Linked DNA regions of Drosophila melanogaster. The protein of the gene in region 2 interacts with the protein of the main gene of each other region in a pairwise test. Each region holds a gene or a part of one and is shown on either strand. Other genes may lie near its edges.

Region 1 (3,633 bases), on a different chromosome or scaffold from region 2:
CTGCATGTGGCACTTAAATCATAATTTAGGCGTATTTAATATTTATTTGAATTTGCTTCTCCAAAAACATGGTATCTGGGCAACAGAGTGGATTTAATTGTATTCATATAATTTTTATTAAGACTGACTACTAATATTTTCAACTCATTAACCACCAATGTGTAAGCCGTAGCAAATTCTCCTTTCAGCCTTGTGTAAATTTTGGCCAAGTTGATTTGCATGAGTGGAAAGGCCAATTAAACAGACACACTGTTGGGAGAATTAACAAAGCGTCATAAGCTGACCCACACAAGCAAGTTGGCAAACAATGGCAAATGCGCAAACAGAAACATATTGGTCAAGTTGAAGGCTCAACCACGCCCCCATTCCGCCGGGCGACAGTTAATAGATTTATGCAATTGATGTTCCCTGACTGCGATAAACTCAACAAAGTGGCATAAAGCTCGGGTAATTTCCGCCGCCTGATGGACGGAGGACTCGCCGGGCGGAAGGACCTCGAAACGTCCATCAAAAACTGCGACCAGAACTGTACTGATAAGATATGAAAAGCAATTTACGTTAGCTGTCAGCGACAAATGCGCCCTCGTTTCGATTTATTTGCACATTTCATTTAACGACGATTACGTTCATTGACACTTTAAAGCCGTCGCTAATTAATGCGCCTGATTATGTGGTCGAAGAATATGACATATCCATAAATGGGCGAGAAATACGTTTTGCGGCTGACATTTTTCGAGTGCTCGCAATCGCAGGAGGCGTTCACACAGAATATTTTGTGATCGCCAACATGCTTTAGCAGCAGACTGTGGGGCCTCTTGTTCAACACCCGGAAATTGTCGCTGTTGTTGAAGGACACACGATTCTGGTGCCAGTCGAAGTAGCTGAGATGCAGATTCGATGGCCTCAGCTTCGTTCTGCCCTCGAAAATGGCCCGCCAGTCTACGCAGCTTGTAGAGTTCTCGAATCGCGACTCGCGCAGACTCTGCTCCAGGTCCAGAAAGCTGGAGATCTCTAGACCCTTCTTCGAACGCATCACCAGGTAGACGACGGTCTAAAAATTACAAAATGTACACATTTCACTACACATAAATGTAACCTTCTAACCGAAATTTGCTTTTCGAGCAGCTTCTTCTCTCGATTGGCAAACTGTTGGAGCACCTCATCTTTGTTGTTCAAGTAGTCTCCAAAAAGTTGGAGTCCTCGTAGTCCCCTTGGCTTTAGAAGCACCAACTCTTTCTCCTTCCGCTGGTAGAATTGCTCGCGGGTGAGCAGATTACCCAGGCAATTCTTACCGCAGGCATTCTGGATCAGGTTCCTCTGGATCTCTTTGTTGCCCAAATAGCGAGTGTCCTGGATGGTTATGAAGCTGTCTACATAGTCCTGGTAATGATTAAAGTTAATCAGATTCATTCCGCGCGAAACTCAAAAAACTAAAACTGAAAAGCTGCTGAATGGCAAGAAAACTGTGATTTCGTGTAAATCAAAATGTATAATATTTTGAATAAGTTCGAGCAAAATACATTACTGACAACAAACTGCCAACTTTGGCTCAAAAGGCAAAACTTTTGCTGGGCCTGAAGAAGCAGAGTTGTTCTCATATTCAATTTCGAATGAAAGTAGCTGAGCACAAAAAATATTCCTTCTAATTTTCGAAACTCGTGAAAAAGTCTTATCTTAATTGAAATTTGTTTGAGAAACTGATAGCCGGAATGGTTTGTAACAATTTGTAACAGCTTTAATTTCATGTGCGCACAAATAATTAAACATTTCCCACATAGAGTTCCCTTGGCAGAATCCGCTGCGCTGTTCGTGTGGCAAATTTAATAAATGGAAAAAGTTTCACAATGCCCAAGCCCCGACTGTGCCCTTGTCCCTTTTAGCCCAGAACTGTGAGTATTTTCAATTACACTTCCCTATGTGCCACGCCCTCTCCCGCCGCCCATCAGGGGCATTTCGCATATTAAACTAATTACTTCATCAACATTTTAAACTGCCAGCCAGCCAAAGGGAAAATTTGCATTTTCAGCCTGTGCGTATGCAGCGCTCTTTGTCCTTTTCCGCCTGATATCCCGTTGAGCGCACACTGTCGAGGATTAGCAGTCTAACAAGTGACACCTAGTGTTCCGCACATCGCCCTATGAATCCCAAGGACTTTCAGATCAGATCAGATTTACACATAAACGGTAACCAGTTGATGAACTTGCAACGAATAGTTTATAGTCAACTAAAAAATGTACCCAAGTCTATGAAATTGTACAGGATACTGTAACCTGCCTTAAAAATAAATCACTTTCAAAGTTCCTTTCGCCATTTGAGATTAATCACCAGGTAAACCAATTAAAACAATGCCAACAGCCGCTGCTAATCAGCCATAATTTATATATCAAATAGGGTGTGTAAGATGTCCTGCACTTCCTGGCAGATTTCCAGCTCGCTTTTCAATTTCCACACACAATACGCAGCTAGATTTTCCCCTTGCCTGCGTGAAGGTGTGTGTCTGTGTGAATTTACGCTATTTAGACACGCTTTCCCACTGTTTGCAGTTGTTGCTGTCGTCGCTGCAGCAATTAACATGCAGCCGCTGCCGACACTTGGAGCTCAGTGCTCCTCCACGTGCAGATCCCCCTCCATAGTTTTCCTCTGCATTTTCCCAAGCCTTCTCACAATTTCCCTTCCCTCCCCCCTCTCCATCACTTTGGGGCAACAACTGCTGTTCCGTTTTGCATGCTTTGTCACCATCTTGCCGCTTGCCGCCGTCTTGAGCGCGTAAATTGCTACTTCGTGGGCCAATCCTCCTGCTCCCCGCTGAAGTCACGACATACCCACTTCCCGCCAGTCTACTGGCAGGACCTACAGGACCGCCAGGACTGCCAGGACTCGCATTTCGCCCGCTGCGTCTTGGCCGTGGCCATTGTTTGACTTGGTCATTAGTAAATGTACTTTGTCGCAGCATAAAAAGGAGTTAAGTGCGCACTCTAAGGATTTATGTGCATTACCAAAGAATGAGGCGGCAATGCTCAATGCTGCCTCGGGAAAGTCGAGGCTGCTTTTGCCATGTGTTAAGTGCACATTTCTGATGAATGAGTCGGCTGGCTGCAACTGCATTTCAATTGCAGAAAGTGCTGAATGGACTGAGGGCTGGAATTTATAGTTGAGCAGTTGCCGTCATTATCGCACAGGGCATGCCAATCATCCACTTGAGCAGTTGCATAGATTGAAGTTATCAGAGAACTTCTAGATATGTAAATCATATTTTTTCAAGCATTCATACATTTCGAGCATGACAATGGACATGATTGCCGAAAAGCGTAGAAAAGCATACTGCTTGCATGTGCAAGTCAACCAGGAAGGGGTTTTTATAATTCCTATTTTGATTTCATTTTGCAGACCCCTAACTACGAAACTCCCAGATTTTCTGTGTAATCCCATCGCCACTCTGGAGTGCAATTTCCTTATTATAATGACGCTTGGCAGTGGTAGTAGTGCCACATGTCCGGCAAATAAATGGCTTACAGCCACGAGTCCTTTGAACTGTTGGCAAATGCTAACACAAATTATCAAGTTACCATAAATTGCCCTCGCCCGGGCCGTACATCTAGCCAATGAAATCAAAGCCACATAAATTGCGCAAAT
Region 2 (5,074 bases):
AAATGAGCAGAATTGCATTTTGTGCATTTCGACCCGCAAAAAGTGTAAGCTGGGCACAAAAATGCAAATGACAGGCGGCAGACAGTAATCCCCTATGGATGAATGGGCTAGCGGGGGCGGTGGTGGTTGGTGCGTTGCGCGAGGGAGATGAACTGGCCGCCCATTTCATTCATCGAAGTTGCTAGGGCCCATATACACCAATCAAAGTGAGTCATAATTGATAAGGTGAGTAGAAATACTTTTAACTTAAATAATTTCATTTCAAGGGGTATTAAACCAAAAAAAAAAACCTTAATAACCTTTTTTAACTATATGTTCAGCAACTGTGTAGATATACGCTTTTATATTAATTAAAGTGTAAATATTAACCTAACCTAATAAACCGTCCAACTAAGAGTACTTTGTTACATGTTCAAGTATCTAAGTTTTATTCAAGCATTTCAATTATGAACGAATACTTCTAGTTATTTTATGTTTGGCTAGAAAATCATATTAACAGTATCCGTTTGGTTCACGCATAAACTAACCACAATAAAATGTATTAATGCATTCCCACCTCAATCCTTTGCAGATTTGGAGTTGTTTCGTCGGATGCCAAGCATACCATGTACTACTGCTAGGTGACCGATGTGGACAAGGCAATAGGTGGCGGCGGCGTGGACGACGAGATCATCGAGGTGGTGAAGCTGTCCCTGGAGAAGGCCAAGCGGATGATCCAACAGGCAGCCGTCAACAAAAGCCCGCCCAGCTTGTTTGATGTGCCCGATGCGTAGGCCTAGAGGCGAACGTTGTGTTATAACACTCAACACTAACCAATACGAATGCTTTCCAGCTGACCCGCATTGTGAGGGCGCCTAGCGTACACGATATAATATTGAAATTCCCGTGCCCGTCGAGGCTTAGCTTATGATATGTATACCGTGTAATATATAATGCACCCTGGCCAGATGTCCGCTTATGAATTCGGTCAGACGTGTCATCTCAGCTGCGAGTTCCACTCCCACCGCGGCTGCCAAGTGCATAAGTCGCCTATAAATCAAAATGCCGCAAAACGGGTTCCTCTTTTCTCCGATCAAAACCCATCCGATCCGATTCGATGTGATGGGACCTGGTACTGTGGAGGACCAATACCCATACGTACCCATCTCATCCTATCCGAAGCCCCTGTCGGGCAGATCATTAAATGATCATTAAATATATTATAAAATCCATTTTTGTGATAGAACGTTGTCTACCGACATTTTTTTTTGCTTTCGCTTTAAGTTACTACATAAATACATATGTATTTAATCGCACGCGCAGAGCGGCCAAGCAAATCCTGCAGGTCAACGCTGCGGCACATGTCGCACACACATACGCACAGTGGTAGGCGCCCACCACCCAAACACACTCGCACACACACGCATGCAAATAAACGCATAGTAATTGCATTGGCACGTTGTATAAATAAATTTGCAAGTGTGTGTCGCTGCTGCCGTTTATTTATTAAACGTTGTTGTTATTGTAGCTATCATCAACTTGCCAGGGGAAGTACAGAGTGAGTAAAACGGATCAGTGAGAAAGTGCAAGAGAGTACAATCAATTTCGTATTGTAAATAAAAAGAGAGAGATAAAATAAATTTCCCAACTCACACGGTATCATTAAATGTAAGTAAGGAACAATAAGTTCTATTTGTCAGTTATAATTGAGCCGCCAGTGGGTTCGGATCAGTTTCAATTTATTAGAAGTGCGCCTGTGTGAAAAGTTTCCCTTCTCCACTAACAGAGGCAAAAAAGGAAAGCAAAACAAAAATAAGAAAATAACCAGCAAGGCAGAGCAAGTGAAACGGACAGAAAAAACTTTCATTTTCAATGTCAAGCAACAATAAAAACGTCTGCCGGTTGGGGGAGGCAATTTTGTGATGAGAGAGCCAAAAACAAAGAGCGGGATTAAGAAAGAGAAAGGAAGAAGGTGAGAGAGATCTAACTTTCATTGTACAAGAGCATGAGCATTGGTAGCAATTGCTTGCTATCTCTGTTGCCAGCAGAAAAAGCGTTAATTTCTTTTCGATTTCCGACTCAAAGATTCAAGAACACGTGCAATTGTTGCTGGTTATCAGAGAGCGAGAGAAATAGAGAGCATGAAAAACAGCTGACGACTGCCTTTCTATGCATCTCTGTTACACATCCTCTTGTTTATTTACACTGAGAAAAACAGTTTTACCATTTACTTTAAATGCGATTTTGATACCATCTCATTCTTTTTATAAGCACCCTGTATTAAATCAAATTAAACAAATCGTAAAATTTAGTTTCACTTTACATTTATTATTGAATAATTATTATTATATATTATTGTCTTTATAGATTTGAAAAGTTTTCCCATATCGTAAGTGATGTATTGTTACTTTATTTATTTGTTATTAAACGTTTGTTTTTGCTCAGATTATTTATTTTGGCGGGAGAGCGCCACACCGCTCTCTCCTTTTCCGTCACCTCACACCATGTGGTTATAACCAGACGCGTGGCTTTACAACAACAATAGTCTTACAACAATAGATGCACATACTGACACTCGCCGCACACTTACACTCGCACAGATGGGCAAAATATTGAAAAATTGCCAAAATAAGAGACCAGACATTTTTCGAATGTCGAAAGCAAGACATACTATAGACACCATATAAAATAATGGGAAGACCTCTTGAAAACTCACCATGCTCATAAGGCGAAAAGGTTCCAGCATCTATATTGATATAGGGGTCAATCTTGATCGAGGTTACATCCAGACCACAGGATTTCAAAAGCGTTCCGAACGAGGAGGCAATCACTCCTTTTCCCACGCCACTAATGACGCCACCAGTTACCAGGATGTATTTCATCCTTTCGTCTCGAATGTCAATCTTTGGGATCACCAAATGTGGAGGATTATCGTGTTATCGGTTCAATTCGCGGTGGACACTCAATCTGAGGCAATCCGAGCCACAATTTATTGTTTATTTGCCTTTGCTGCACGTGGTTTTAGAAATTGGATTCGTTTAATATCTCATACGTATTTATGGTATGACCACCGCTCATTTCATTGAGAATACCAGTGACTCACCGTGTGTTGTTAAACGTCACAAAAACCGCGCGGTTTCCTATGCATTAAAATTGAGTTCCCGCAAAAATAAACAAGAATCAAATGTAATTTTAGCATAGCAGTGAGGACTGGTTACATATTTATTTGGAAACTTGCGATTTAAATCTAAAGAAAAAATGGCCTATAATTCGTATTACTTTCCCTTGTTTATATTTTTACTCTTTGTGTATAGTTTGCGTTTTTAAAAGGAATTTCACGTTTTATATTACCAATTTTAAGTGTAAATAAATCATAATATCCGGTAAATTTGAATTGTCATAGATCCAAACAACTTTAAATGTGCATATTTAAAATTATATTAAATAATTTAAAAAGAAATTTCACCGAGAAAAAATATTTTTTGAAAATAAACATCAAATTCATATTGAAGATAAACACACTCCCATTTCAAAGCGCAAAGCATTAAATGTTGCATATTTATTGAATTTTATAAGAAATTATTGAATTATTGAATTTTATTTATACAAAAATAAGAAAACTTTGAAACTCTGTAAATGCGTGCCAAGCGAAAGAAACTCCTTGATCAACCAGTTACTTGCTGGCCTCCTGCTGTTCGAACAGAGGATACTGTTCGGTGACACTCTCCCAGGTGGTTCTCGCCGTCGACAAGTCCTTGACGACGCCCACAACCTCCTCCAGACCGACGCGCACCTGTTTCATAGTATTCCGATCTCGCAGAGTCACCGTATGCGGTTCCTTTAGAGTGTCGAAGTCCACGGTGATGCCATAGGGTATGGCAATCTCATCCGTGCGGGCATACCGCCTGCCAATGGATCCACTGGAGTCGTCCACCTTGTGCGAAAGTTCCGCCTTGGTCAGGGCAGAAGACAGTTTCTGAGTATAAGGTTGAAAGTCGGTGTTGTTGGACAGCGGAAGGATGGAGCACTTGATGGGCGCCACCAGAGGCGGTAGCGTAAAGTAGCACCGCTGCTCGTCGCCGTCGCGGCATTGGAAACTGTGCTCCAACAGGGAGTACATGATGCGACCAATGCCGAATGAAGGCTCAACCACACTCGGGATGAACTCCTCCACATGGACCGTTTTCGTAGAGTGCTTAACGCTGATGGTGTCCTTTCCGAGATCGTGGCTTTGGCCATCGGCCGTGGTCAGTTTGTATTGACCATCGCCAGCCAGCTGTTCCTCTACCTTGGTTATCTCCTCCAGCGAAAGCTTAGCCAACGCATCCGTGATGTTCTTTGCCTCCTTCTTGAAGGTCTTTCCGAGAGCCTGCTTGTTTGGCACAATCTCGCTGACCTCGACCGTTTTGGGAGCCGGCAGACGCTTCTCGGCCACCAAACGCACACCTGTGGCGGCCGTATGCTGTCCCAAATCGTAGGCACTGCGATCCGCACATCCTACGCACTCCACCCATCCGTAGGAGGTAAGAATTTCGGCATCCCAGCAATCGCATGCATAGTGAGCCATCTCATTGGACATGTGCTGCCGGAATCGCAAGCACTCCGGTTTGATACCAATGGCCAACAGGAACTGCTGAATGCGGGCCATATAGTAACCAAGTGTCTCATTAGCCACCAGTTTGGATGCCACTGCTTCGCCGATTTGCACCTGAGCGGCAGACTTTCCATCCATCTGGTTGCACGCCGAGTAAAGGGTCAACTTTTCCGATTTGATGTTGCCAAATTTGGGATGGTCCTTGAGCACGGGATCACAGAAATGTTCAATCTCTGCCATGGTGAACTCTCGCACACGGATCAATCCCGATCGGGGTGAGATTTCATTGCGGAAGGAGTTGCCAATTTGAGCCACAGCGAAGGGAAGCTTGCCTTGATTGAATTCCAGCAGTCGCTTGAAGTTGACGAAGATACCCTGGGCAGTTTCGGGCCGCAGGAATCCCTTGACCAAGCCAGTGGGTCCAATTTGGGTGGCAAACATCAGGTTGAACTCAATCGGTTCTGTTAAATCATTGCCGGTTAATGGAGATTTGATGTTGTA

The links.
Region 1: the proteins of Ctps (region 2) and CG3528 interact in a two-hybrid assay, tested with the Drosophila melanogaster proteins (one large-scale study listed by BioGRID).

The regions. Positions count from the first base shown.
Region 1 is NT_033779.5:2,516,547-2,520,179, forward strand, and holds CG3528 (uncharacterized protein), read right to left. Parts: upstream 1,492-3,633; 5' UTR 1,411-1,491; coding exon 1,105-1,410; intron 1,052-1,104; coding exon 650-1,051; 3' UTR 556-649; downstream 1-555.
Region 2 is NT_037436.4:15,096,138-15,101,211, reverse strand, and holds the start of Ctps (CTP synthase), read right to left. Parts: upstream 3,299-5,074; 5' UTR 2,862-3,298; coding exon 2,696-2,861; intron 2,679-2,695; exon of another isoform or gene 2,425-2,678; intron 2,369-2,424; exon of another isoform or gene 2,347-2,368; intron 1,952-2,346; exon of another isoform or gene 1,710-1,951; intron 1,159-1,709; exon of another isoform or gene 572-1,158; intron 226-571; exon of another isoform or gene 1-225. Other genes in the region: GlyRS (Glycyl-tRNA synthetase), read right to left, coding at 3,653-5,074. UniProt on the Drosophila melanogaster protein: Catalyzes the ATP-dependent amination of UTP to CTP with either L-glutamine or ammonia as the source of nitrogen. Constitutes the rate-limiting enzyme in the synthesis of cytosine nucleotides.